7 separate regions of the Mus musculus genome follow, and regions 2, 3, 4, 5, 6 and 7 are each reported to be linked to region 1. Evidence: microRNA targets listed by miRTarBase, many of them from high-throughput screens and not tested one by one. Region 1 holds a microRNA gene; each other region holds the end of a gene's coding sequence.
The links. Region 1 holds the annotated microRNA mmu-miR-882 (AGGAGAGAGUUAGCGCAUUAGU, at 1,182-1,203, shown strand). A microRNA usually pairs through its seed, bases 2 to 8, with sites in the 3' UTR of a target mRNA and lowers its output. Matches are read on the target gene's strand: a 7mer-m8 pairs with bases 2 to 8, a 7mer-A1 pairs with bases 2 to 7 and ends in A, and an 8mer does both.

Region 2: miRTarBase lists BC048403 as a target of mmu-miR-882. Seed matches in the 3' UTR shown: 7mer-m8 at 688-694.
Region 3: miRTarBase lists Atp2b2 as a target of mmu-miR-882. Seed matches in the 3' UTR shown: 7mer-m8 at 2,545-2,551 and 7mer-A1 at 2,815-2,821.
Region 4: miRTarBase lists Thada as a target of mmu-miR-882. Seed matches in the 3' UTR shown: 7mer-m8 at 3,486-3,492 and 7mer-m8 at 2,797-2,803.
Region 5: the mRNA of Rgs20 is a reported target of mmu-miR-882. Seed matches in the 3' UTR shown: 7mer-m8 at 3,303-3,309, 7mer-m8 at 3,279-3,285, 7mer-m8 at 3,261-3,267 and 7mer-m8 at 3,247-3,253.
Region 6: miRTarBase lists Ddr2 as a target of mmu-miR-882. Seed matches in the 3' UTR shown: 7mer-m8 at 2,765-2,771.
Region 7: the mRNA of Dkk1 is a reported target of mmu-miR-882. Seed matches in the 3' UTR shown: 7mer-m8 at 2,709-2,715 and 7mer-m8 at 2,632-2,638.

The regions. Positions count from the first base shown.
Region 1 is chr12:109,681,026-109,685,092 of GRCm38, forward strand. It overlaps Mir882 (microRNA 882), which reads left to right and starts at 1,172; the gene lies at 1,172-1,248. AF357341 (a small nucleolar RNA gene) reads left to right here and starts at 494; the gene lies at 494-568. It overlaps Gm22981 (a small nucleolar RNA gene), which reads left to right and starts at 1,359; the gene lies at 1,359-1,432. Gm25856 (a small nucleolar RNA gene) reads left to right here and starts at 1,969; the gene lies at 1,969-2,043. It also overlaps Gm23787.
Region 2 is chr10:121,750,807-121,754,873 of GRCm38, forward strand. It overlaps BC048403 (cDNA sequence BC048403), which reads left to right. Exons shown (of 3, transcript NM_173022.3): 3 at 1-2,059. The coding sequence ends at 313. Among named protein-coding and RNA genes, the nearest start is that of BC048403, 13 kb to the left of the region's middle.
Region 3 is chr6:113,745,122-113,749,188 of GRCm38, reverse strand. It overlaps Atp2b2 (ATPase, Ca++ transporting, plasma membrane 2), which reads left to right. Exons shown (of 20, transcript NM_001036684.3): 20 at 341-4,067. The coding sequence ends at 652. Among named protein-coding and RNA genes, the nearest start is that of Sec13, 6.5 kb to the right of the region's middle.
Region 4 is chr17:84,188,135-84,192,201 of GRCm38, forward strand. It overlaps Thada (thyroid adenoma associated), which reads right to left. Exons shown (of 38, transcript NM_183021.3): 38 at 1,922-4,067. The coding sequence ends at 3,817. Gm36279 (a long non-coding RNA gene) reads left to right here and starts at 4,054. Exons shown (of 4, transcript XR_385852.4): 1 at 4,054-4,067.
Region 5 is chr1:4,906,621-4,910,687 of GRCm38, forward strand. Rgs20 (regulator of G-protein signaling 20) reads right to left here. Exons shown (of 5, transcript NM_021374.5): 5 at 2,956-4,042. The coding sequence ends at 3,854. Among named protein-coding and RNA genes, the nearest start is that of Tcea1, 51 kb to the left of the region's middle.
Region 6 is chr1:169,974,530-169,978,596 of GRCm38, forward strand. Ddr2 (discoidin domain receptor family, member 2) reads right to left here. Exons shown (of 17, transcript NM_022563.2): 17 at 1-3,460. The coding sequence ends at 3,326. Among named protein-coding and RNA genes, the nearest start is that of 3110045C21Rik, 7.2 kb to the left of the region's middle.
Region 7 is chr19:30,543,956-30,548,022 of GRCm38, forward strand. Dkk1 (dickkopf WNT signaling pathway inhibitor 1) reads right to left here. Exons shown (of 4, transcript NM_010051.3): 3 at 3,608-3,757; 4 at 1,921-3,483. The coding sequence ends at 3,230. Among named protein-coding and RNA genes, the nearest start is that of Dkk1, 3.5 kb to the right of the region's middle.

The sequences.
Region 1 (4,067 bases):
ACTGGGTCAGAGGGGCCCTGAAAATCTACTTGGATGAGCTGGAATTCCACAACCACTCCCTTAGAGATAAAGCTGACAAGACAGTGCCCTTGAAATGTAGGAATCCTGGGTCAAACTTGGGAGCATGTCTCAATAGTTCTATTTTTTCTCTACCTTCCAACATCCAGAGAGCTGACCCAAGTGATATGAGAAGTTTGCTGTGATGGACAGTTTCTGGGTGCTTTGCCAACAATCCAGAGTACATGGTGACATGTCAACTCCAGCTGTGATCCTCCTGTGTGGCACTGACTTACAGGTATGGAGGGTCTCTTCATAAAATGGGTGTCAGGCAGACTATGGAGAGAAAGTGTTAATTTCATGCTAGCTTGCGGACCAGGCAGTGTCAAGCCCCCCCACAGCACAGGATAGCCTCCTACAGTGTGGTCTCTTGAGTGTACCACAGTAGCCAAGGAATGAGCCATTCCTGAAGCCTCAAGAGAGAGGAGCCCAACCCAGGACCTATGATGAGATCTGGTGGCATCTGACTGTATCTCGATGACAGCCATGAGAACAGATGTCTGAGGTCAGGCACAGAGCAACTTCAGCTGTGTGCCTTGTGGTGCTAACTAATAGCCTGAGATCGAGGAAAGCGGGATCATTTGTGTCACCTTTGCTCCTTAAACTGATCAGTTTCCATTAGGCAAGGACTTCCAGAGAAGCAACGTCGGGTTATAGTTGGTAGGACCATGACCTAGGGCTTGGTGGGGAGCAGCATGGCTTGGGAGATCTAAGAGGCATGTTGATAGATTGGGGAGATGATAGGCTGACCCCATGGAGGACTCCTTAGCCTCTTCTTGGTCCAATCCTTTTTTCTGGCCCCTGGTGAGAAATTAGTCTCTCCTGGGAAAAAAGTTTCAGTGCAAAGTAGGCCCAGCTCATGACCATTGGCTCCGTAAATGGGGAGGACATGGGGTGGTGGCCCACAGAGTCTCAACACTGACTCTCTCCTCTCTGCCCTGTACCCTGCAGAAATGGCGACCCAACAGATGGTACCAGCATGCTGAGATATAGAACCACCCTTGTATCACCACTGTGACATCTCAGAGCTTTGCCGACCAAGAGGCAACATCTTGATCTTCCTTGCCCACCAGCTTGCAGGTACGTTTAGTGGCAGGAAACTGTGTCTTCCTTACAGCAGTACCAGGAGAGAGTTAGCGCATTAGTGCAATAGTTAGTCCTGATTTCTGGGTTTTTCTAATGGCTGCTCTTCAGGGGCTGCCACACAGAATGTTCTAGTACCCTGTGATCAGAGCTCTGCCCTCAGCACCCACTAAGCAATTAAGGTGTGCAGTTGGCTAGGGAGAGAGGGAGCCCCATCCAGGACCGATGATGAGATCTGGTGGCGTTTGAGTGATACTCCATGAACGCCAAGTATCCAGAAATCTGATGCCTTGCTAAGAGCTAAGCTCTGGATGGAGGCCCATAGGTCTATGCCCGTCCCTTGTGGACCTGTGGTGTGAGGTGAGGGCTTGATTGCTCTTTGATCATGTAGCTTGAAATATTCCCATGGAATTTCGTCAGAGGAGCCTTAAGGCCACACCCACTTTTTTTTTTTTTTTTTTTTTGAGAGAAAGCCTACAAGATAGCATGCTTGAAATGCAGCAATTTTGGGACAATGTAGGGACAGCGTCTCAATTTTCCTTTCCTTTTTCTGCCTTCTTCCCTCCAGGAAGGTGACTCTAGTGATGGTAGAGTTATGGATAATGGACAATTCCTGGGATGCCATGGCAACAGTCCACAGCCCATGGTGACTTGTCAACTCCAGCTCTGTTCCTTCTGTGCGCACCTGCTTATAGGTATGGAGATTTAATCAAAGCATCGGTGATCAAGCAGATATGGGTAGAAAGTGTTAACTTAGTGCTAGCTTGTGGATCACACAGTGTGATGCCACACTTACCAAGAATGAGTCAATTCTGAGAGAGGGGAACCCAGAACAATGATGAGATCTGGTGGCATCTGAATTTTTCTTGATGGCATCCATGTCAAGAGAAATCTGAAGTCAGGTACAGAGCCACTTGAGCTGAACTGCCCTCCATTGTAAGTTCCATTAGCAAGGAAACATGGCTGACAGGTAGTCGAAGTTGGTTTAAATTGTGCAGAACCACAACCTTGCATGGGGACCTCACAAAGGGCATGTTGAGAAATAGGTGTACTGAGATGCTGACCCTAAGCAGCATGCCAGAGCATAGAGGGGACCCAGCTCTTTTTTCCTTCAAGTGGAAAGAAATTAGTCTTTTCTGGGAAGAAAATGTACAGGTACAGCTCAGGCAAAGCCCATCAGCCTGAGTGACGTCACCGTGGAGAACATGGCATGGTGACCCACAGTCTCAACACTCTCTGTCCCTTTTCTCCCCTGTTTTCCTCAGAAAGGCTGACCTGGTGATGGTGAACCACCACCCCAAGTCTGCATGTCACAAATCAGCATCTCTCTCTCCTATGGAGTCTGGTTCTAGGTCTTGACAGGTATTCGTTATCAAATCAGTCAAGTGAACTATCATTGATAAGATTCATTAAGTTCATTAAAAGGGGGCAGTACACCCAGTTTCATAGAGTGAATCTCTGCTTGTGTGTCCTGTGAATTGTCTTTTTTTTTTTTTTAATGGCTTACTAACAGGTCTTTCTCATTTTCCACAGAGGCTGATTGACTGATGTCATTGCAAAAGTTTCCTGTCATAGAGAGTTCCTCTGATGTCCCTTCAGCACCACTACAACTGGTATTCACTTTAGTTTCACATTTCGGGCAGATCATGGTAAAACCCCATGGTCATATCACATAGTTCTTGTGCACGTGGCATGTGTAAGATCAATCATACAGCAATAGCTTTTAACTTCAAAATTGAAACCAAGCACAGTCCAGCTGCCACAGAGGTTTTCAATTTCTTTTCTATTTCGTATTAACCTTATAGTCTCCATTTTTTCCTCAGAAAATTTATGTTATATATGTTAAAATCATTTTTAGCATATCACAACCTATGCATATTAGAGTTTGTTTCCATATTGTGATTCATATTTATAATTGTTAGGTTCTTCTAAACTTGAAGCCACAATCACATATTACTGTACTTGGCTTGGATTGTCCATGATAATGACATTGAGAAAGTCTGTCACGTGTCCAGGGTCGTGTGCCACTCACTAATCTTTTACAGCATACATTCTATGAGTAGTGAGTGACCCTCAAACATTAAAACAGAAACTTCATATGAGTCAACACAGCTGCCCCTGGGAAAAGGTGGAAGGAAAATAATATGGTTGACCACCACATTAGTTATAAGTCCCTACCACCCTGTCCTGAGTCGGGTCTGTGTGGAGCAACTCCTTACTCTTTATTCTTTTATTAATGATAATGCAAACATTACATCCTATAGCCGAAGTTTACGTTCTGGAGTACATAAGGAATCATTCATATTATTTAGTCATGAGTTAGATATATGGCTCTGTAAGTCAAAGCTGAAAGCTGTTGCTCTTTTATCTGCTTTTAAAAGTCATTTAACAAATGCTTTGTTTTGTTTTGTTTGTTGTTCCCCACATCGCGCCTCTGAGAGCTGACTGCAGGATTTCCTATGTTTAATGACTGCCTCAAGGTAAACATGGGTAAAAGCCATACATTTTGTCGATGTTTTGGTTATTATGGCTGTAACTTTACAAAGCATGAAATAGAATCCTACAGGTCTACTCTTACTTTGTCTTTTGGGGTGAAGATGGGCTTGTGTCCTGAGTAAATACGATGTCTGAAGATGGTTCATAGCACTTTCTTCATAGCGCTGTGAATACTACAGTCTGAATATATCAGAGAGCTGTGCTCCTGTTGAATATTTGTGTATCACCAGCATTGCTAGTGAATTATTGGCTTAGCCAGTAAATAGTATCTATGAGAACGAGGAAAGGTCAAGCCATTTCTGGACCAATGATGATAGTTACCAAGGTATGAGAGAGATGACGAATAACACTTGTCTGAAGCTCAGAGGTCCAACCCAAAAGATAGGTAGATAATCAAAGGTCCTTGAAGGACAATGGCATTTTTTTTTTCT
Region 2 (4,067 bases), not on the chromosome of region 1:
AGTGGACCAGTACCCAGCCGTGGTGTCTCTGCCCAGTGACAGGCCCGTCATGCACTGGCCCAATGTTATCATGATCATGACAGACCGAGCATCTGACCTGAACAGCTTGGAGAAAGTGGTCCACTTCTACGACGACAAAGTCCAGAGCACCTACTTCCTGACCCGCCCGGAACCCCACTTCACCATCGTCGTCATTTTTGAGTCAAAGAAATCTGAGAGAGACTCCCATTTTATTTCCTTCCTCAACGAGCTCTCGCTTGCCCTTAAGAACCCCAAAGTGTTTGCAAGTCTGAAGCCTGGATCCAAAGGTTAGCAGGCGCTTGCCCAAGTTTTTCCAAGATTGGATACATTGTTCTTAGTTGAGTAGTTTGTGATTTGAATTTATATTAGCTCACGCTTATTTCTGGGCAGAGCTAAAGACAGAACCTCCCTAATCATGTTGCACAGTTCATAAGGACGGAGTCTCCAAGGAGTCGTCTGGAAGAGCCATGGTGACTGAACCACCGTGGTACAGCGAAGGCGAATCAGCATTTTCTGATTTCCCTGTATTTCATGTCAATTGAATATTTGTTGGTTTCTCATTTATCTTTCCAGATTTTTTTTGTTGTTGCTATTCTGACCATTGTGCCCCAGTGTGCTTCCTAGCATCTCTCTCTCTCTCTCTCTCTCTCTCTCTCTCTCTCTCTCTCTCTCCCTCCCTCCCTCCCTCCCTCCTTCCGTCTCCCCCCCACCCCAGCCACAGGGAGAGATGGGATTGTTTTCAGTTTCACAAACACTAGTATTAATAGTTTTACAAAATGATCTAATTAGTATTATACTGTAATTAGAATCTTGGTGAGAAATTTCTGTCAGGAGGTGAAGTGGGAGATGACAATTGATACTGGTCCTTACAGCAGTACAACCATCCACAGGTCCTTTTCAGGTGACCCTCAGCTCCATCCGCATCAGTCTTTACCTTTAAAGGGTTTGGTAGTCACCTGTCCCAAGTCAGCCCAAGCCATGGTTCAGTGTGGAAAGCACTCAGCCATGTGCTTTAACCAAGTGTTTTAGTTTCTCACACATTGCAGTTCATTTTTATAAAATCAAAATGACGGACTTAATACTTTGTGCTTGCTCCATAGTCAGGGCATCCGGTGAGGCCCCAGCACCTCTGGGCGTGGTCTCTTGCCTTCTGGAGATGATTGACGTGCATGCAGAAGCAGCTTCTCGGCACTGCTTCTCGGCACTGGCTGCTCTGGCCTCCTGCGAGTTCACAGGGGAGCGGATGGAGAGAGACCACGGAAGCATTGAGCTGTTACTGCTGCGTTTGTCCCCTGGAGCTCCTGTAAACGTTAGAGTCAGATCAAGGCTTTCCTCGGGCTTGTATGGAGCCACTGTCTGATGGGGTGTCCACAGAGCATGAGGCTCATGCAGGGCCGGGGAGCCCCTCCCAGGCCTCCTGGTCAAGTGGGGTCCAGCTGTACAAGGGTTCACTGGCCAATTATCTGCATCTCCCCACTTTCACACAAACTTAAGCCAGTTGTCTTTAAACAGGTGATAGTGATTGACTCTGCATTTTCTCCAGGCTCTATACAAATAGGAACAAATGTTGACCTTACATTGAAAAATTGGAAACACTTGGAATTAAAAACCAAACCATTTTTCTTCTTTTTGTGTTTTGCTGAGAAACTGAAAAAATAATCCTTGGTATGTATTTTTTTGTTTTTTTTTCCACCATTAGCCTTAATGATGTCGTTCCCAGTACCTAAAAGAATATATAGGCTTCAGTAAACCATGGAGGGATGTATATAAAACACATATATAAATATATATTACTTAAAATGGCCAAATGTATATATATATATATATTTGAATTGTATATTTATTTTTAAACATATTTTGAGTAATCTAAGAGGTATTTACAAAGAACAGGAGGCAGATGTGAATATTAAGAAAATCTATGGCAACATAAACTTAAGTCCCTATGCACTGCCAGGATTGGAGGAACCTCGAAGATTAGTACTGACTCTAATCACTTCTCAAGCTCCTCAATAAAGTTTTATATATATAATTACATATATACATGTATATATGGTTTTTTTCTGGTCAAGCAAATTGCATTGTGTGCATATGAATGTTGTGGGGTTCTTCTCCAAGAGCCTCCTGAAACTGGAGGGCTGGGTTGCGGGGTCTCTGTGTGTCCCCTACAACACGTTGTTACCTTTAGACTCAGGTGCCCTGAGGGGCTGGACAACCATAGCACAGCACAAAGGGTAGACAGCTCGCTTGGGAACGGAGGCCAAACTGAACTCATTCTGTGGACAGGCCCGGGCTTCTCAGGTTTGGCGGGGCCTGTGTCCTGAGGGCTGGCCTCACTGCCTCCTCTGCTTTTTCTAGCTCCCCCGACCCCCTTTATTAAAAACAAAAATATTTATGTGAGTACACACTGTTGCTGTCTTCAGACACCCCAGAAGAGGGCATCTGATCCCATTACAGGCGGTTGTGAGCCACCATGTGGTTGCTGGGAATTGAATCAGCAACTCTGGAAGAACAGTCAGTGCTCTTAACCACTGAGCTCCAGCTGTTTCTCCAGCTGCACTTTTTTTTTTCTTCGCCAAGCTTATCTGCTTCTGCAGAGCCAGCCCTTCGACCTTTTTTTTTGACAGCTCTCTCCGTTAGTTTTGCATCTGCATCCCTTCCTCTTCCTCCCAGGTAGGTCTGAAGTCTTGTAACATTCCTGGCCACCGAGCAGCACAGGCCCCACTCCAGAAGGCAGCTAGAAAATCATTGGAGGTAAAAACTCCACATAGGTCACAGTGACCATAGGGAGGATACAGGCCTTCAGGGAGACAGCAGTGACATATACACACAAATATAAGATGCCCATATTTTGGCTCAAGTCAAGAAAGGAAAAGAGAAGAAAAGAAAAAGAAAAAAAAAAGGATTTGCTCCCTGGATGCAAGGTTGGCATCTTCAGTGCCCACTTTGCTGATCGGAGTGGAAACGGACACATTTCTTGTGGACCGACTAATGTGACTTTTATATCTAAGCCACAACCTGTTGGGTTCTGGGTGACTGGAAGTGTAGCCAACCCCCTTAAAATGTGCTCTATTTTAACGATGCTGCTTGGGTAGTGGATGTTGCATGATGTTTGATCCGGTTGTGAATCCCTAGATTGTGAACTGGAAAAATTTTGTGGGGCGGCTCAGCCTTAGCTCACGACCACCCATAATGAGATCTGACACCCTCTCCTGGTGTGTCCGAAAACAGCTACAGTGTACTTACATATTACAATAAATAAATCTTAAAAAATAAAGACCAAAAAACAAGTGGATGAATCCTTAACAGCTTTGTCCTCTATGAGACCCAGCCTGGTATATCTATGTCATTCCAAGGAGTGTGTTAAAATGAAGCTAGACTGTTAACTGAGCAACTAAGACCCTTTGTACACTGGAAAAATTTCCGTTCAAGAAGGAAATGGGACTTCCCCTGCCCTCCCTAAGGTGATCTTTAACTTCTGTCTGCCTTTCACTCTCATAGGCAGCTTGGTGGGTCCATTACTTTGGCTTGTCAGCTTCGAAGAGCGGGAGCTTTGTAAAGTGGGGTTGAGCAAACATGGGCTGCCTTTCTCATGGGTTAGAGTGGGGCGGTGTGTGTGTGTGTGTGTGTGTGTGACACTTTGTTGCAAAAGGACTGGAAAGCTGTACAAATAGAAGGTGAGCCACACTTCCCTGACTTAAATGCAAATTCTCATGTTCTCTTCTTTCAAGTCCAGGGAACCCCCAAGCTTTTATGAGAAGGGCAGTTGAATGCCTAAGGACACACCCAGCTTTCAAGTCTCCGTGGCTCCTTGTTCCTAGCTTTTATAGTTAGATGAGATAGTGTCATTTCAGATCTGTGCCACTGGGCTCTTACTGGGCTGCCCTGTCAAAAAGAAAGAGATGTGTTCGAACTGTCACCTGTGACTGTGTCCTTCTCCCTACAGAGGTTGTATGGCAGAGGTTACAAAGTAGCGATGTTCTAATTACAGTCTCTGTGTTTATTAGCCAGAATATATATCTACAGAGACCCCCATCTTCAGTTATTGG
Region 3 (4,067 bases), not on the chromosome of region 1:
CTGCATGGTCAGACTCTGCTGTGACATTAACAAGGCTCAGTCTCTCACTAGGTCGGGTGCCCTTCGGAGTGGACCATGCTCCTGTTTACAACTACCCCAAGCATCTCTGTGGTGGTGCTTTTATAGTCCCCACTAACACCATAGTTCTGACCCAAACCAAAGCCACTTAAAAACCAACTCATGGATGCATCCCCCAAGCCCTCTGCCCTCCGTCCCCATCGATGCTCATAACACCAACGACTGTGGATCCCAGCCGCCTGCGTGCCCTCCCCTCCCCCAACCCTCCTCCAAGTCCCCAGAAGGGCTCAGCCCACTCCTGACCAAAGTGTTTCCCTTGCAGATCCGCGTCGTGAAGGCGTTCCGTAGCTCTCTCTATGAAGGGTTAGAAAAACCCGAGTCTCGAACCTCCATCCATAACTTCATGGCTCATCCTGAATTCCGGATCGAAGATTCCCAGCCCCACATCCCCCTCATCGATGACACCGACCTGGAAGAAGATGCCGCGCTCAAGCAGAACTCGAGCCCGCCGTCCTCGCTCAACAAGAACAATAGCGCCATCGACAGCGGGATCAACCTGACGACCGACACGAGCAAATCAGCTACCTCTTCAAGTCCAGGGAGCCCCATCCACAGCCTGGAGACGTCGCTTTAGCTGAGGCCCCTGTCGCCTGGCCACGCTCATGGACCCGCCGCCACCCGCCTCCAGGCGCACACCCTTCCAGGCACCAACTCCCCGACACAGCAAGGAGCACTGGGCGGAACCCACACAGCAGAGAGGGAACCAGACCTTTCTCTGGCAGCCATGCTGTTTGAACTCTTTTTCACTCCTTAGGCCTTGGGCGGGGTTGCCCTGGGGTCATCTGGAGCAGAGAGTGGCGTGGATTTTTTTTTCTCCAAAACATAAAAAATAATAATAACGAATTAATTAAAAAAAAAAAGAGCCTTTCCAGGCTCCAGCCCAGACACGGACCAGCCATGCACCCGCCGGCCACCGTGGCCCCAGCATGAATGTACCTGGACACTATTAATCCCCTCCCTCATTTGGTTCTTGGAGGGCTAGGGAGGGGAGTTTTTTGTTTGTTTCCTTAGGCGGGAACTGCAAACAGGAACTGGAACAGAGACTACTGTTCGTTCAGTCCACTGGTCTATGAGGTTTCAAATGCTTGCCCAGCATGGTCTCAAATGTCTAGATTAATTTAATAACTTTTTGAAATCACAGAGTAGGTTTGCACCAATGAAACCCAAGAACTCCACAGACACTCACGAGGTTATATCCGTTTCTTTGTATCTATATCAACGTATACTTCTTGAAGACTGTATACGTGCGTATAGATAAGTAGATATTATATATATATATATATACATATATATACATGGATATATAAAGTTCCTTTGCCGGCATGTTGCCTTGTTTCTGCTTAAATTGCTCTATTTTAACTTATGTCCTAAAAGAAGAATGTAATTTGTTTACAAACCTGTAGATAATGTCTTTGGCTATTTGTGTGGTTTAAGGACACTGGTGGCCAAGATGCTTACAAACAGCTCGGGCCCAACAGACACATCCCCTGGATTGCATCCTTGAAGTTTTACGATAGCCATGCTCTGATTTTTGCCTGCTATTTCCGTTCAATAATGTCACTACTGTGGGAAGCTCAGGCAGAAAGCCAACGGCTCCCAAGGATCCACCCTGAGGAGCTAAGCAACGCGCTCGCTCACTCCACCGTAGACAAGGGAGAAGAGGAGAGAAGGCTTCCTGGGTTTGCAACACGGCCGTCCAGGTCTGGTGACGTCAACGTCTGTAGTGCACCCGGAGAAGGAAGACTTTTCTCTCAATGAAACTCGCTTGAGTTTACAGAGAGCATTTCAGAACTGAGTTGTCTTTGGCACTGTCTGTGAGTCAAGGTAGTGTTCAGATATTACAAATGCTATTGTGTTGAATTTTTTTTTTTTTTTAGTTAGTAATTTAGAAGTTTCTTTTCTTATAAACGGCAGCATAGACACTGCTGACATACTGGATGAGGGTTGGTACGGCTTGCTGCTTTTGTTTTTTTTTTTTTTCTTTTTGAAGAAGAATAGCCTTTTTTCTCTGCACTATTTAGATCCGAATGAACCTTATAATGTGTACATTGAGATGTATTCAGTGTGATTTTTAAACCAAATTGTCTTCCTGTAGTTACAATATATACTGTAGCCTTTTAACAGCAAGTCCTGCTTTCCCAGACAGAAAGCCATTCTGATATCTTCCCATATCACAGGTGAGAAAAGGTGGCTATCCCCTCTCCCAACAATAACAGCACTAGTTATCCCACTTAATAAGAGCTTGTCTGTCGGCCTCTTACTGCTAAGCACTTTGTGGGTCTCAGCTTTTTTTCATAAAAGAACTTTTGTATTTAATACAAAGTTTGCTTTGAGACTTTTCAGCATACAATCTTTTTCCATAAACTTGTACAGTGCAAAAGACATTTTGAATACCATGACCGATGATGTCCCGTGCTTCGAGGAAATCAAACACTTTCCGCCTCACTTGTGAACTCCATCCTTCACTCTCTCCCTCCTCACAATCGCTCCTCCTCGCTCTTCAGCCTGGCCCCCCAGCCCTCCTCCAGGCCCAGAGACCTCTTCACTAAACAAGATGACAGCCACTTGGGAAAAGAGCCATAGTCAGCTGGGAGGGCCCACGTCTGGATGGCTGTGAAAAACTTGAGTTCTTGGTTTGGGCTTCAAAGTCTGCCCATCCCACCTGGCCATAATCTTTCTATAAGGAAGAATATCTCTGAAGGATTCTGATTGTATCCAGGAGAGAGAGAGAGCTACCTCTCCAGCAGGTGGACCAGCCCTAGATGTACTCACTGGATTCCAGTACAGACACCACCAGAGCCAGTCCATAGTACCCCTCCAAGGGAGGGAAGGAAACCCGGGGCTGCCTTGGAACAGGATAGGTTTTTGGTTTGGTTTTGTTGTTGTTGTTGTTGTTGTTGCTGCTGCTGCTGTTGTTGTTTGATTGGTTTGGGACTTTTGGTGGGGAGTCCTTTGTCACATTTTTCATCCTGCCCTCCTTCATTCAACCATGCATCTATGACCTCATTCCATGCCACCAGGGTTCTTGCTCTTAACAAACCGGGGTCCTCGGGCTTTGGAACCAGGCCTCCAGGGCAAAGAGGAAGGGGTTCTCTGAGCAGAGCCAGGTTCTCAGACAGGAGCAGAGGAAACTAGCAAGGAGGCCTGACATTAGTGCTGGCTTCCCGGTGTCAGGAATGAGAGATAGCCTATGCCCCAGCCCCTCACTCTCACACTCTTCCATACACACACACACCTACACAGGAGATGGTTGGTTTGTCAGAACTCACTGTAATACACAAGCTTGCACTTCTGCGTCCTATATCTAGCAGCATGGGATACGTTTGGCAGTTCACCCCATTAGGGGGTCAATAATTTATGACCATTCATCTGTTTTTATGAATTTTTTTATCTAGACAATAATTGTAAATAAAGAATTCACCGTCTCTGCTCATTTAATACTATGCAATGGTTATGTTTTCCATGGCTGGCTCTTCTGGCTCACATAGGTGTTTCTGATGTGTCTATGGTATTTAAAAAAAAATCAAGCAGAAATAGGAAATCTCTACTCTTTTCTAGCGTGGCCCCCACCCCCTTCTTTCCTGTCCTCTGCATTCTGTAAGTGCATCAATCCCCTAGCCTGTCAGATAACTGAGAAAACACAGGTGAGCATCCAGCAGGGGACCTGAACTTTGGCTCTGGCTACTTCAGAGTCACCCATCTGTGGAGGGATAGGGAGAGGCTCAACTTGCTGCTCCCAGCTATCCAGGATTGAGGAGCAGCCTCCATGTCTCCACCCACCCATGCTCTCCTATCCTCAACCCAACCACAGCAGAGCTGACTGGAGGGAGGTGCCCTATTTCTGAGAGTGGATGTGGCACTGGCTGCTCCCAAGCCAGAGCCCATCCTATCCTGGGTCCTCTGGTTAATAAAGAACCACTGTGTCCCCATGCCTGTTGAAAAGCCACCTTTGCCTTCTCCTAATTTTTTACACAGACTTCAGTCCAACT
Region 4 (4,067 bases), not on the chromosome of region 1:
GGGGAGGAGAGGGGAGGGGAGGGGCGGGCAGCCTGGGCGTCCCGAGCGGCGTGGGGCGTGCGGCCCCCTTGGGTCCTGCTGGGTGGCGGCGGCGGGAATACCTCGCTCTCCTCCGCCTCTACGAGTATAACGTTGGAAAGCACGTACACGTTCTATCTGCCCAGGACGGGGCTACCCGGGACGTGCCTTTCCTCGCCCGATCCGGCTGGGCCGACTGGCGCAGCTTTTATCTCCCATCCTAGTTTTTGCTCCGCGCGCGGGAACAGCAAAACAGCAATGGTGCGCTTGGCCAAGTTGCTTGGGACTAGGAACGGGGGTCGCGGCCTGTCCCGTAGGTGGCAGCTCCGGCCCGGCTGCACGTGGAGACGCAGTAGGGGTGGGGGCGGGAGCGGCCAGCCTGGAGGAGCATTGGCGCGTTTCTCCGCCCCTCTCCCCGCCCAGGCTCAGTAAACAGGACTTGAGCGCTGCGGCCTGTGGGGCAGAGCCGAGTGTCTGAGGACAAGGCGCTGGCTTTGCTAATCACATCACAAGACCTTGAGCCTGGGCCAAAGGCGCCGAGTGGCGCGGGGTGTCCGGGGCGGGAAAGCCTATTCCAGGGGACTAGAGGGAAGTCGGAGGAGCAGTGTGGACATAGAGGAAGTCACTTCCTTCACCTTTGTGCCTGCTGGTTGGCCTGGCCTCCTCTCGGGGATGTGGGTGCAGCTCCTAGCCAAGGCTTCCCGCCTGTACAGCCTTGGCCTGTCGAATCCTGCAACCTTCCTCCTTCTGCTGTGGGAGGCGCGGCATTGAATCTAAGCTTTGTGTGAGCTGCCGGAGGCGAGGCGGTGATTGCTGAACCACCACCCAGGTTGGGGGAAAGAGGTCCTCATTCGGTTGCCTTTAGTGCAACTCCTACCAGCTTTCCATGGAAAAAGCAGTCCCAGAAGGCCCCTGGCTCTTTTTGAGAGGGGTCTCACACACACACACCTCCACACACCTAGCGACCCCCACCCCCACCCCGTGAGGCCCATCTGGTCAGGTCCAGAACCCTTTATCCCTACACTTCATACTGGCTGCCAAAAGCTGGAGTTGGGCCCATGAATTCACCCAGCTGGCAGTCCGGGTTGCCCTGGGTGGAAGGCCCAGTAGTTGCCAGAGAAGGCTGCTTGACCAACTACATCCTTCCCATGTTGCTCTTCCTGTCTGGTTGACCCAGTCCAGTGTGCACTTGGGCTGTATCAGTTAACCTTGAAGCTAAGGAGGTAGATCTGTCACTCAAAGGCTCCTGAGTCCAGGTGCATTTGGCCACACTGCAGTGCATGCTGCCCCTGTAGGTAGAGCCAATGGCTGCCAGAAGACTGTAGTGTCTTGGACGTAGTGCTGAGTGGGTTGGGTACGGTGGTTCATGCCTATAGTCCTAGCACTAATCACAAACTGTGGTGAGTTTTAGGCTAGCCTTGCACAGCTTAGTGTGAGAGTGAGACCATACCCCTATAAAGGAACAAAGCCCTCACCATCTTATATATTAAAGCAAACTGGCTTTTGGCTGTGGTCTGAGCAAGGGGCCACCCAGATCTTAGGACCCTCAAGTGTAGTGACTTAGGGAAGATGGCTGCTTCACTCTTCCCACCCACGTTGCTCTTGCCCCTATTACTGCTGGGTTCTGTGGCTGAAAGGACCCCAAATGTAAGCATGAGGCTGTGACTAAGGTTTTCCTGGTTTCTCTCAGGAAAGCATGCAGCAGTCGTTCCCCTAGCTACTGCTAGCAGGATTGCAGATACAAGCCCACCTGTGGAGCCATCCATCCCTCCTGTCCTCCCAGATTGGCCACAGCCAGCCAAGATCCAAGTCTGGGGTAAGTCCCAGCTAATGGCAGACTTGGTAGGATGGACTTGGAGATAACATAAGCCTGCTCTGAAACATGCTTTGGGACAGCATGCCTGCCAATGTGAGATGGTTTTATTGTCATGTAACTGCTTTTATTTCATTTTAGATGGAAGGGGAGAGGGAAGGTTGGGTCCTGTTCAGAATTAATCTCCCAAGGTTGTCACCACCAGCCCCTCTCACCAACTAGATCTTAAAGTAGTGTAATGCTGGGTATAGTGGTGTATGCCTGGAATCCTGGCACTCAGGAGGCAAAGGCAGGAGGATTAACACAAGTTTGAGGCCAGCCTAGTGTAAATAGCAAGCCTGACTCAGAAAACTAAAAGCAAAGCCCAAAACAAACTAAACAATGTTAGGTTTTCAATTTTTCATCAGCAGTGGGTTGCACTGCCTAACTAGGTAATTACTACAGGGCCACACAGACCCCAGGGTGCTGAGTGTTTCTAAGACCACCCAGGGGATTTCTGTTCCTCTTCATGGCCAGGAAGGACACAGCTCCTGACTTCCCTCTCCCTGCGTACAGGTCTCTACTCCAGCACAGCCGTGTTTCTGTGGTGCAGGATGGTTTTCTTCTGAGACCAATTACATGTGAAATGTCAGCGTCTCTGCAGGAGGAGCTAGCATATAGAATGCCTCTCTCCCTTTTCCTCATGATTCTAAGTGACTACTCACTGAGAAGTATCTGAACATAGCTATAGGCCCTACAAGTTCCTTCTATGGCTGGCATGGTCTTTGTGGATAACTGGGAATGTGGATCACACTACAGCAACACATCCACGCCGTGAATTGAAGGCAAGCGTCTGCGGGTGTCACGTACTCTGGAAGCACACGTAGCATGGTAAGCTGGGCCACATGATGCGGCTCAGTGGATAAACGTGCGTGCTCTGCAAGCCTGAGCCTGAGTCGATCTCTGAAGCCCATGCAGAGGCGGGAGGAGAGAGCTGGCTCTATAAAGTTGTCCCTCAACTTCCTCAGACATCCATGCTGGGGCATGGGTGCCCTCCTATCATGTACAGGTGCTGATAATAGTTTTAAAAAGTTTTAAAAGAGTAGGCTAAAAGCGCTAGACCAGCAGCATAATGTGTGCAAGAGCGCCACCTGCTGGTGTTCGAGGATGCCAGCTGGGCTGGGCCTGAAGTGACAAACCCTTCCGGTTTCTATATGGAATCACCTAAAGTGGGTAAATGTGTTTCTTGGCACTCTGCTGTCTCCACCAATCACAGGACGGTGTACAGTGGTGGCACCGAATGAATTAAGCATTTGCTCAGGCTTCCCTTTCCCCAGGCTCTGTCCAATAGCTGAGGCCAGTGATGGGTGACAAGGGTTCCTAGCCTTCGCAGGCATTTCTGGGTAAGACAGTGGGGACTCTTAATATGGACCACTGAAGGACTTGGGCAGGTAGATAGTAAAATGCAAGTATTTGCATGTTGTAGGTTCTTAATATTCCCAGAATCAAACATACCCTTTACTAAAATGGAATAAAAGTTTATAAATATGACCAAATAGGTATTTGCTAAACAAAACCAAACAAAAGAGCACTGTGTGTGTGTGTGTGTGTGAGAGAGAGAGAAAGAGCACTGTGTGTGTGTGTGTGTGTGAGAGAGAGAGAGAGAGAGAGAGAGGGAGAGAGAGAGAGACATGTAAGCTAAGACTGAATTCAATGCAGTCAGTGTATGGGGAAATGGGCGCTGGCTTTGGGATAGAACTGACTAGTTCAGGCCTGCAGGTGGCTTGCACCTGGAGACAGTAAACCTGCAGACAGCAGCTTCACTTCCTAGGTAGCTGCAACTAATTGGGTTGCCTTGAATGAGTGTGCTGCAGACAAGGTCCTCAGTAGGAAGGGACAGAAGCCTAGACTCCCAGAAGTGGGGAGGCACCTGAGGAAAAGAGTTTCAATTGGTGTCCACCATGTATGTGTCTTGCAGACCTGAGCTGAGGCCCAGCCACCTTTCTTCAGCATGCTGCTTCTGTTCTTGGGGCCATTACTTGTCTCCATTCCCTAGGGCAGTCTTCGGCTCTGAGACCCTCCTTTCCTTCCAGGCAGGCCAACAGCCTCAGGACAGCCAAAGTCCTTTCCTCCTGAATGCGCAGCCTCGTGTATTCCACTGTCTTCAAAAACTCAGCTGAGAGTGGAAGTTCTCTGAAGAGCTGAGAGATGAGGTGACTCTGCTCTGATGCTATCCTTTGCAAGTGACAGAGCTTCT
Region 5 (4,067 bases), not on the chromosome of region 1:
CATGAGTGGCCAGGCCCTTCTACTATCTATTCATGCCAAATGGCAAGGAAAACTTTCCCTGACATGGACTCCCTTTATAAACCTTGTAAACCCTCAAGGCAGGAAAGTGGCCAGGCCCTGCCTTGGAACTCCAGCAACCCGAACCTGCCCCCAAGACATCCCTCAAAGCACCAAGAGTCCTTTTCTAAAAGCTGTAACTGTCATTTCCAGCCCTGAGGCAGTAGAGTGGCCAGGTCCCACCTTAAAAGAAAAAAAAAATCCCACCAATCTTTGAAGAGGACAATCCACCAATCCCTGAGCTCCCCCAAGCTCAGGACTTGAAACCCCACCAATCCTTATCCTGGAAAGCTCTGCCCTGGAAAGTTCCACCTCCTAGAAATCCTATATAAGTTCTGCCTACTGCTCAGTTCCCTGCTGTCTTCTCACCCAATCAGAGGCAGCTGCCCTCCTAAGTTTCTCCCTCCCAATAAATCTCTTATGTGAGGTTTGTTGTGTGGTGTGACTTTGTGGTAATCCTTGGCTCCTGACTGCCTTCAGATATGCAATACTTAAACTCCCCCCTGAAGACTTCCAACTTCCACATTTCACCCGTAGAACACTAACTGCTCTAATGGACCTCTTCAGTATTCATTGGCTTTCAACTCCTAGCTTTCCATCTGAGTTGTAACATAGCCTCAAACTCACAGAGATGCCTCTGACTCCTGTATCCTGGGATTAAAGGTGTGGGCCACCACTGGCTGTGTGGGGGCTCTTCTTAACAGTCATAAAGTGAGATGTGCCGGGTCAGAGAAGGAAAGAGAAAAAAAGAGAAGTGAGAAATGACCAGCCTTGGGAAGAATACACAAGAAGAGAAAATCCAAGTGAGCACCAGCTGAACACTTAAAAAACTGACTGGATTATGTGAGGTAAGCTTAGAGGGTGAAGGTCAAGATTAAGACAAGCTGAGTATCCCTCATTTGTGAGATATACCAGATGTCCAGACAGAAGTTGACTAAAATTCAGGAGGGATTTCAGACCAGACCCTGACTGGTAGATATTCAGTACATTTTAAGTATATAGGAGGGACACTAGGGAAAAGTAAGCCAAATCCAAATTTCAGGAGCAAGTACTCTCAATAGACAGGTGATAGCAGTGATTATCATGTTGTAAGTATTTTCTGTAATCTACATGAGTGTGTTCTAAATCCTCACACAGTGCTATTATTACCCCACAGTGCTACCAAGAAGACATGCCCAAAGAATGTTACTTACTATTCTCATCTACTGGCATGCTTATGGAGTTGGGGTAACTCTGGCTGGGGAACCCCTGTGCTTTGTCTACTTGTTCTACTATTGAAAGAGGAATGGAGAAGAATTCAGGGAGTACACAGAGCTAGGAGGACCCATAGAAGAGATGGGAGTAGGGTTTCCAGGAAGAAATCACCCATGATAGGAGGATAAGGTTGGAAATGATGTGCTCTAGGGCCACAGATGCCCTACTAGAACAGTCAGAGCACCTTTCTGTTTGAGTATGAATAGGGAGATGGGGTGGAGGCAGTAGGGGGATGCTGTGAAAGCCTACTGAAAGAGTGCTAACTGTGCTAACAGATATAGGCTTGTTCTTATGCATGAAATAGAGCAAGCTTACAGTGTGGGAGAGCAGACCAAGCTTAGATAAGTAGACGTTGCCTTATCCCTAGGAAATGCTACTTTCCCTCTCCTTGAAACATCTGTTCTTATGCCATATCTGCATGTTCTTTCTTCCCTCTTACAAGGCAAATCCTTCTAAGCCTTCTTTGAGACTCAGCTCTCTGCCCATGCACACAAGGGCTTGTCAGCAGTCTTCATGCTTTACCTCCCCAAGGATTCTAAACTGTCTGTGCTGAAAACCAGTCCTCCATATTAGAATCTATGCTGTAATTGTTAATGCAGATTCTTTCTGAATAGTTCATCTCAGCTTCAAATTCAAAATCCTGCTCCAGCTTCCTGTGTGCCAGAAATGCAGGTATGTGCAACTACACTTAGCTCCAAGCCTAGACTCTTGGCCATGCAGGTCCCTCTACACAAATGAGTATCCTTATATATGTCTTACAATTACCTTATACTTTACATGTCCTTAACTGTATCATTTGGAGTCACTCAAATAGCCTCTTCACCTATAGTAACTATTGGCAGGACATATACAGTCTTGTTCTATAGAGTTAAACTCTGGTGGAACTTCTGCTGAAATCTTTATATAACCCTTAAAATTCTTTGCGCTGGGTTTGCTCCATTCTAGGTCTTATAACAATACATTGTAGGTACCATTGGCACGTAACCCATTGGAGAATCGCAGTTATGGCCTCTGTTCAGTGAAAATAATGGTTGAATAAAATGGGATCAGAACCATATGCAAGAGACTGGCACCATGAAAAGTACAAAGCTCATTATTCTCTGAGATGAGTTGAAGGAGGTGAGGAGGGATGCTGGGATGTGTGTATTCATGGGTTCATACACAGAGTAAGGGGTGAGGGACAAGCTTCATGAAAAGTTAGAGGTGAGATGGTTTGTTGAGAATGAGGGAAAGGAGTCTTATTTGGGGTTGAGCTGAGTAACAAAGCCAATGAGGCTGATGCAGGACCAGGCAAAAGGGAGGCCAAGACTTCTCTACAAGGTTGGAGCTGGTGTGTTCTCTGTAAATTAAGTGTCTAACCTGAAATCTGTCCAGTGTGTTATATTTCCCATTTGTTGTAGACATGGGATTGTTCAGTGTGGCTTAGGTCTATAACTACTTTTACCTGTAAACTATGAAGTCATCCTATTTGCTGTGATTAACATAATATCTTGGAATCTAAAGACAGAACACTCATCTGGATGGTGAAAAATGGATTGCATGCATCCCTACATGATCTGTGTTCCTCAGAAATGCCAGATAAAATAATACAAGATTGAGAGAAAACTCTTGTTGTTTTCAGGATGAAAATATCCACATATCTTTCATTAAAAATTAAAATATGTTTATTTGAGAAATTGTGAACATGACAAGCTTTGGACTTCAAAATTCACTCTTCAGCTTGATAGATTCTGATAATACAGTCACCCTTTCACTTAAGTGTTGTTTTCCTTACTAAATGTCTGAGAGTGACCCACCAAGAGCATGGTTTGTTCCACCAACCATAACAGATACACGTACGTATGTACACACACACACACACACACACACACACACACACACACACACACACACACACTTGGATGCATGCATGCACAGAGGGAGGGAGGGAAAGAGGGAGAGAGAGAGGGGGAGAGAGAGAGAGAGAGGGAGAGAGAGAGAGAGAGAGAGAGGGAGAGAGAGAGAGAGAGAGAGAGAGAGAGAGATTTTCCATTTTTTACAAGGAATAGTCACATCTTTGTGAAATATGACTCTCAGTCCTAGCATGGTACCAAGTGAAGTATTCAGAATGAAGGAAGGCTTAGTTGAGGAAGATTTGAATGCCGTTTCTTTGGAGGGTAATACAGTATTGAACTCATGCAAAAGAAAGTGTTCCCATTTGCTCTTTGTACATCTGTGCTGCAGGCAGAACAGAGACTAGTACATGCTCTGCCCTTGAGAACATGCTACTGTTATGTGAATGTGAGCACACTATCTTTCTAAGGCAGCCTTACCCCCACCCCTTTTTTCTCATACCCCCCACCCCTTTTTTTCTGATAAGTATCACTAAAGGCAGTTGTAGTTTCCATTGTGAATCTATAGCTTTCTGTGGAGGAGGAATCTGTTATTACAACAGTCCAAGAATCACTGTAGCACAAGACACCCTATCGCTAAATTCCCTGTGCTAGCTGTAGTCCATGAGTTATTTTCTTGTTTTGTTAATAATAAATATATTTGAAACCACCTATGCTTCAACTGTTTTCTCAGCTAAGGACGTAAGCAAATCCTTATAGACTGTGGAGTTCATGAAGCGGGGATAGGAGTCTCTGTGCATTAGAGTGTAGATCTGCAGTTGAGCGTCATCGAATATGTGCTGGGATGGATCCACCATGTTTCTGTTGATAACCTCTCGTACTCGGGAGTCCAAGCTGACCTGTGGAGAGAAGCAGCAATTATTT
Region 6 (4,067 bases), not on the chromosome of region 1:
CGCAGACAGCATTGTCACCAACCCTACATGTGGTCTAGAACCCACAGGAGAGCGAAATGCCTTCTGTACCCACTTCCTGAGATGAATAGGTGACTCCCTAATGGTTCTGGTGGCCACATGTTTCTATATCCATGAAGACCATGTCCTTCTTCAACTCTACAAAAATCCCTTGCATTACCTACGGTGTACCTGACATCGATTTACTAAAGACAGGCTCCTTCACCCAGCATTTCTCCTTTACCTACCCTCCATTCTTCCCAAGTCACTTTTTCTAACCTCTCTCAGATCTCTTGGCATGCATCAGCGTTGACTTCATGGCCTCCAGCCAACCCTGTCTCTACCACGTTTGACTTGCCTCACCCCATATCTTCCCCAGAACCTCTCCTTGCCTCTTTTCACTGTGCCTTCTTTCTTATTTTCTACCCATCCTCTCCTTCCAGCCACACACACACATTCATGTAACAACTTAAAAAAAAAAAACACTACTCACATACTTGCATACAGCCCTCTTTTGTATTACAGTTTTGAGCGTTCACAGACAATCTTTCCACAGCTCCAACAATGCATGCTCTCCTCTGGGCACTCATTTCCACTCCAGGTCACATATGTGACATGGTTACACATTTATCTGGTCACCAGATCAAGATTTGAACATAGATCAATGACAGGACCCATGCCTAGCAAATGTGAGTTCTGGGTATGATCCCCAATAATAAAAACATAAATGGACCTGGTTAATGTATGCATTCATCAATAAAGGTATAAATTGAAATATGATAGTCTAAAGGACATCTTGACATAAATGGTTCACATATATCGTGATCACGAGTTACTTGGGGAAATAACAAGATCCCACAGTTTCTCATCTGTTTCTGCTTTCTTTTCCAAAACCTACCTTCATTTCCCTAGTTTAGATTTGAGCTACCTGTCTACAGAGTAAGTCTTTACCTTCTACCATGGTTGGCTACTCAGACCTGTACTGCTAAACTCTACTAGTGTAACTAGAAACTAAACCTGTGTCTGTAATACAAAGGTTTCAGTGCCAGAAGGTGGAACCTTCTTCATACCAAAAACAAAGTGCCTGTACATGAAGATACATATTTGATAGCCATCTGGGATAGATTAGTTCCATAAAGCAAAGTCCTGGAAATTTCATTTGTAAAGGAATACAGTGAACTGGGGGCAGAATCCTGAAGAGTATATAGTCAAGAGTTGTGAAAGAAACATGTCTGGCCCTAGAACTATCAAATGAGATAACGTGAAGCAGCACTGGTCACTCTAAAGCAGATATAATGCAGGTGTTGCTCTTACTTAAATGATGTCTCTCGGGATCACTATTACTGGCCACAATTGTCTGAGCAGTAACTGAACCTACATCAACCACAAATCTAGTTCTCCAGCAAGCACAAAACAAAGCAAAACTCCAAGAGATTCCTAAATCATAGATTCGGTTTTCCTTTGAGACAGATAAGAAAACAAATTCAGAGAGAAGCAAGACTTGGGAAAATGACATACTTGGCTTGAGGCAGCACAGGGCCAGAGTTCCCAATCCAATGTTCTCTCCTACCTCTGGGATCGAAGTTAGTCTTGCTGAGAATGGTAGAAAAGCCATGGGAGAGGAGGTAAATGTGCTGTGAGCGAATGGGATCTATGAAATTAATGTCAAGACTTAGAGTTATACATCTGCTGTGTCCTGTAGCCATGCTGAAGGCTGAACCAAGAAGCTCTCAGGTTTCTAAGAGACCATGGAGCAAGCTGACTGGATAGACAGAAGCAGATCACCACTATTTTACCTCAGCTTGGTTTCCTCTATAGGATTTAAGGGTTTTGTAGTGTAGATTGCTGCTGAATCTTAGAGTCTGTGAAGGATGAAAACTTAGGGTCACTAAGTTAGTCACTAAGGTGACTCCTGCTTGATCATGCATCAGTTCTCGTGAATCCCAAAGCCAGAAAAGAACTTCATGCTTTGCCGCTGGCCACCCTCTCTTTGGCAAAAGCACTTTCAGTAACACCAAATGGTCATCCTTTTATTATCCCATACATATATACCCAGTAGTCAACAACCTCTTCCCTGCAGAGTTCTTCAGCTAGTATCTGAAACTTTTCGGAGATGAGAGATTCCCCATCTCTGGGAAAACCCCCACCTGCATATGTTCTATTTCCATATTTTCCCAAAAGTGGAAATCAGTCTTCCTATAACTTTTTCCAGGGGTCTTGGCCAAACTTTTGGAAACACTCTAAACATATCTCTTGTATATTGGACATGACATTGGATACTTGTGCCTGAGAAGTTGAAGCCCTAGTCTATAAATCCCACAAAGGCATCACATAGTGAAAGATATAGAACTGGACAAGAGGAACTGATGGAGCAACCATTAAAATATCAAAACTTGAGGCTTTACAGAGTAAAGTCAAGTTGTCACTAGAACACACAGGTGAAGACCCTCACAGATGAACAACAAATAGTACACTTGCGAGTCATCCTCCGAGGACCTTCTTTCCTATGACCATGGTCTACCGGGAAGCTTGTGCAATCTTTCCCTTTCTGTGTCCTACTTCAAGCCTTACAACAGACATTTCTTTCTATCCATATGCCCTGTTTCATGGGTAGGCTCTGATCTCTGGCCATGATTGAAGAAAACATTCATTCCAAGACACAAGATAGAGGTTTTTAAGTACATGCCACTCACTTTGACGAGAGAGAGAGAGAGAGAGAGAGAGAGAGAGAGAGAGAGAGAGAGAGAGAGAGAGAGAGAGAGAGAGAGGAGAGAGACAGAGACAGAGACAGAGACAGAGAGATCTGAGAGTCACGTCCAAATCAGAAAATCATCCATTTGTTGTGGAATGCCAAGTCCTGCAATTCTTCATTACCTCTAAGTATTTTCCTTAAGCCTAATCTCATGTTTCTCAAGACATTCATATTCTTCAAGTTTTTCTTTCTAAAGGTATTTTACAGAAAGTGACACGGAAAAATATTGTAGGATCTGCACACTTATAAACAGAAGCATAACCTTTATAAATTATCTGAGTTTCTAGTCTTCATTATCTAACCATTTGGTATATCAAGTAACATTTCTTTTACTAATATCTGCTCTATATTTTTTTTTCTTCTTTTAGTTATTTCATGTAAAAAAGTATATATGAGTCAATAGTAGGGAGCAGGGAGGTGTAGTGGAGGAGGCAAGGGACAGAGAGGGCAGAGTGACTAATTCTCTGTCTCTCGGGTCCATTGAATGTCCAGCTGGAGTGGCTTAGATGTGGGTGAGCAGTAGGTCTTGTGGGAAGGATCTGGGCCACAGGAACACTGCCAGGTGCTGATGCATCATCACTCGGCTCCTTGCTGAAGAAGCAGGAGGTGTATTTCCTGGAAGGATGGCCGGTGCTTGGTTTCTCTTCTCCAGCAGCTGAGCATCAGCTTATACACAGAGTCGGGGCAAAGGGCTGGTTGAGGGAGATAGATCTATGGGAACAAACATTTTAAAAGAGAGAAAAATATATATTAAGGGGCAGGAAGAGAATGGACTGTAACATAGCTCTATGTGTACCCTCGCCACTTTACTGAACTTAGCAAAAGACACGGGTGTTGTGTCTATTCTCCCATCACACAAAGCTCATCAACCCCTTTCTTATTACCTTCTTCTATTCTAGTCCTCTCAAGCAGTATTTCACGAGGACCCTGCCTTCCTACTAAAGGTTCCACCAATGCCAAAAGAACTCAGATCTGCCGTCAATGAGGGTGAATCTTGTCTGAGCCAATATGACAGAAATAAAGCACACTTGTAGCTTCTGCTAAAGAATTTGAGGTTTTATTGCAATTTTATTGGAATAATATTCAGCCAGATGTATAAATTGGGAGGAAGGCTGTATCCTAGCAATACTCACCATTGTTCTCCATGTTCCCCTCTCTGTATTGTTCTCATTTAGAAGAGATTGGATTGCATTAACAGGTATAATTATGATGCCATAATTCCAGCCTAGGATGCTACTCTGAAGTTTCCAGTTACCATTTCCACAAGCAAGATGCTATTTTACTAACTGCCAGTCCATCTCCCGCATTCTATATTTTT
Region 7 (4,067 bases), not on the chromosome of region 1:
GGGAGAGACTGGAGGGAGGAAAGGAAAGGATGGAATGATGTAACTATATTATAACGTTAAAAATAAGAAATAATTTTAAAAAGAGGAAACACATTTCAAGTCTTCCAGCTGAACATGAGATAGAGGTGAGGGACTTGTATAACCACTTTGATATAAAAGAGGTTAACCTTCTCCTAGTAGGAGAGACTGATGCTTACTGTAAAAAGTTTAAGTAAAGCTTCTATCCCACCCTTCCTCCCTTCAACAAATTTTCCTAAGAGTTTATCACCACAGAAATCAGAATCTACTGTGGCTACTGTGGCCATGCCAGACTTTGAGTAGGTAGAAAAAGCACGGCATTTGATTTGAAATTTTGTGTCAAAACTCAACTATACTATGATTAAAACAGGAGGATTTTATGCCTGTGGCACAATAGTTATTAAAGTCACTCTGGAAACCACCTGATTGTCTCTTGGTACCTGGTTGAGTAAATCAGAGAGCCTCTACCTAATGCAAGCCACTCACAGGTTGAGTCGCCCACTCTTTGTTGTGTAGGACAGTAGTCAAGACACTCAAAGCAGAGAGAGCAAGGTGCGAGGCAGTGTGTAACCTATGGAAGCTTAAAATGGTAAATTAGCTGGTGAAATATTCTCATGGGGAAGAAGTCAGATACATTGTTTAGGGGTCAACCATCACAAAGCATTTGAACCAGCTATCACAAACAAGTTCTAGATCCCCTAAGATCCCATCTAACGATTGTGTGGTATATAATGTCCCTCTTCTAATTTTTCAATTAAAAAGTTCCTACGGTTTTGATTTTTTCATCTTCATATATATATATGTATATATAATATATGCAATATACATTATGCACATATATGCAATATATTATACATATATATACCATATACTATATTATATTCTACAAAACATATACAATATATAATATAAATTTATATTCTATATATTCGTAGATTTCCTTTTCTTGGTACTGACCTCCTAAGATCCCGTTTAACGATTGTGTGGTATATAATGTCCCTCTTCTAATTTTTCAATTAAAAAGTTCCTATGGTTTTGATTTTTCATCTTCATATATATATATGTATTTATAATATATGCAATATATTATGCGTATATATGCAATATATTATACACATATATACTATATACTATATTATATTCTACAAAACATATACAACATATAGTATAAATTTATATTCTATATATTCGTAGATTTCCTTTTCTTGGTACTGACCTCCTAAGATCCCAGGTAGATGGAGGTTAACTGACCAGTCTCTCTGGCCTCAACCTGAGGGTCACCAGGAGAGGCTGAAACTTAACATGCTCAGTGAGATGTACAGAAAAAGGTATCCGCACTCCAGCAGGCCCCTGCATAGAGGATCCAGTAACCAGAGTGCAGCAAGCATCTGCCCTACTCCTCTCCTAGAAAGCCCTTCTTCCTCCTGTTTTACAAAAATGTCCCCTTGACCTTTCCTCTTATTGGGTACTCCTGAAGATGGCAGGCCTCGAGATCCACCCTCCTAGAACAAGAGGCAATGAACACACTTAGAGAGTTTCTCTGGATGAAGAAGCAGAGACCTGTGAACAAAAGGGCCACAGCCACTGAAGTCCTGCCAGAGTTCCTCTCTGAGAGCCCCAGTCGGAGTGCATACGCGGTTGCATGTCTCCCTTGAAAATTAACCACTTCCGGGAACACAGAAACAGATGAATATTCTAGGCCAGCTATGCTATTTAAGGAAAATGTTGGGACAATCAGTCAGTCCCGACTATCCTGTGAATAGTGAACCCAGCATTTTGTGGTTTTGATGCAGACTTCCAGAATACTAGAGAATAAATAAATTAGGAAGGTTGTTTTGTCCTGCCCCGCAAAGAAATATGAAATTTAGTGAGAAAACATGCAGAGAGAATTCAATTCGGGGATTTTTTTTTTTAATAAAGCCATTCTCATTCCAATCAATGGAGTACAGGTGAAGCAAAAAATGAAATAATTTCTTGGCAAGAGAAGTGTTACATTCTAGAATTTATGATTGTTTAGTAATTATTTTTTAAATCAAAGTGATTGAAACAATTCTTCAGCATGTCAGAGGATCTAAAATATTCAGAATTAATTATTTGGCTTAAGTTGGCAGGCTTCCTTCTGCATAATCTCTTCTGAATTCTGCCCATCATCTGGAATCACTTGCTTGGGCATTCCCTCCCTTCCAATAACTGTTGGTCACTTAGGTGAATATTAATTGGTTGTTAACTACTTTTGGTTGATGTTTTTTTTGAAACTGAACATTGTTCTATAGAAAGAGTTGGCCAGAATGGACCTGAGTTCATGGGCATCCCTCTGCCTCAGCCTCCAAAATCCTGGGATTATAGGCAAAAGCACCAACCACACTTGTTAGAAGTTTTGAAGGTAGTTATACCAAATTCAAGCCCATATTACCAAAGCCATTTGAGTTTTATCAATGTAGATACATTCTCTTTAAACTAACTCACACACAGACAATATATCTTATCATTTTAACCCCCCCTCTCTCTCACACACACACAGAGCCCCAAATGTATCTATACTTCTAACTTAATGATTATTAAATGTTAAATTTTATTTCAAGGACTACCAGCTGAGAGAGACAGAACTAGAGAGGAGAGATGTGTGTGTGTGTGTGTGTGTGTGTGTGTGTGTGTGTGAGAGAGAGAGAGAGAGAGAGAGAGAGAGAGAGGGAGAGAGAGAGAGAGAGAATCTAAGCAGAGAGCACATCTCAGGAAATAAACTGATACTTTCATGTTAAATTTTAGATGCCTATCACCGACTATTCCATTTCTCCTTACATTCGACCCCCTAGACATTGAAGCAGAAAGGGTTACACATTTAAGAACTGTAAACCAAAATTACTTCAATATAGAATATTTATGAGTCAAGACAATCAACCGTGTACAAAAAAAATTTACATGCAAGAGAAACAAGGCAATGTAGCACACCTCTAGAAAAATAATTAAAAGTTTTGCTGCATTTACAGGTAAGTGCCACACTGAGGATTTACAACACAGTAATTTACTGCAATCACAGGGGAGTTCCATCAAGAAACAAAGTCCTTACACTCCAGAGCTTTTGGAAGGTATTGTCGGAATGCTTAATTACACACTGAAGATTCCTACATCCTTGGGATTGAGCTGACAAATCATAAAGGATTTTCGTAGCATATATTAGATAAAAAGAGTCCATCATATTTAGACTGTCGGTTTAGTGTCTCTGGCAGGTGTGGAGCCTAGAAGAATTGCTGGCTTGATGGTGATCTTTCTGTATCCTGCAAGCCAGGCCTTCCCCGCAGTAACAGCGCTGGAATATCTCCAGCCCGTGGGAGCCTTTCCGTTTGTGCTTGGTGCACACCTGACCTTCTTTAAGGACAGGTTTACAGATCTTGGACCAGAAGTGTCTTGCACAACACAGCCCTGCGGCACAGTCTGATGATCGGAGGCAGACGGAGCCTTCTTGTCCTGTGAAGGAGACAGAAGGAAAATTACAGTTACTGCGAGGCCTGTACCATCCCACTGAGACAATTCTAAATGCACTTCTGATATATTAAATGGGAAAGGCTGAGCCTGAAAGCCCCTTTACTACCTTTGGTGTGATATATTTTTGAAGTCAGTGTGGTTCTTCTGGGATATCCATCCCCCGCGGCGGCGTTGTGGTCATTACCAAGGTTTTCAATGATGCTTTCCTCAATTTCCCCTCGAGGAAAATGGCTGTGGTCAGAGGGCATGCATATTCCTAAGAAAACCAGAAATAGTGATTAATCCTCAGGCTGTAGTTTGTTGCTGCTAATAGCCAAGACAGGAGCAGTGGGTTATACAGACACCACTGTGAGTTACCTCACTGCTGTTGCTGCCTTTCTATTTACCAAAACTCCCCAGAGAAAGCAGTATCAATGAGTGTACTGTCGAATCGTATGGAACGCCTCAGGTATAGCCATTTTAAATGCTTTCCTACTAATTGTAGTGGAGGCAGTAGAGACTTTTCTGTCTATTTTAATATTACCCTTTGGGCTAGGAAAAAGAAATCCAGTCACTTAAAAGAAATT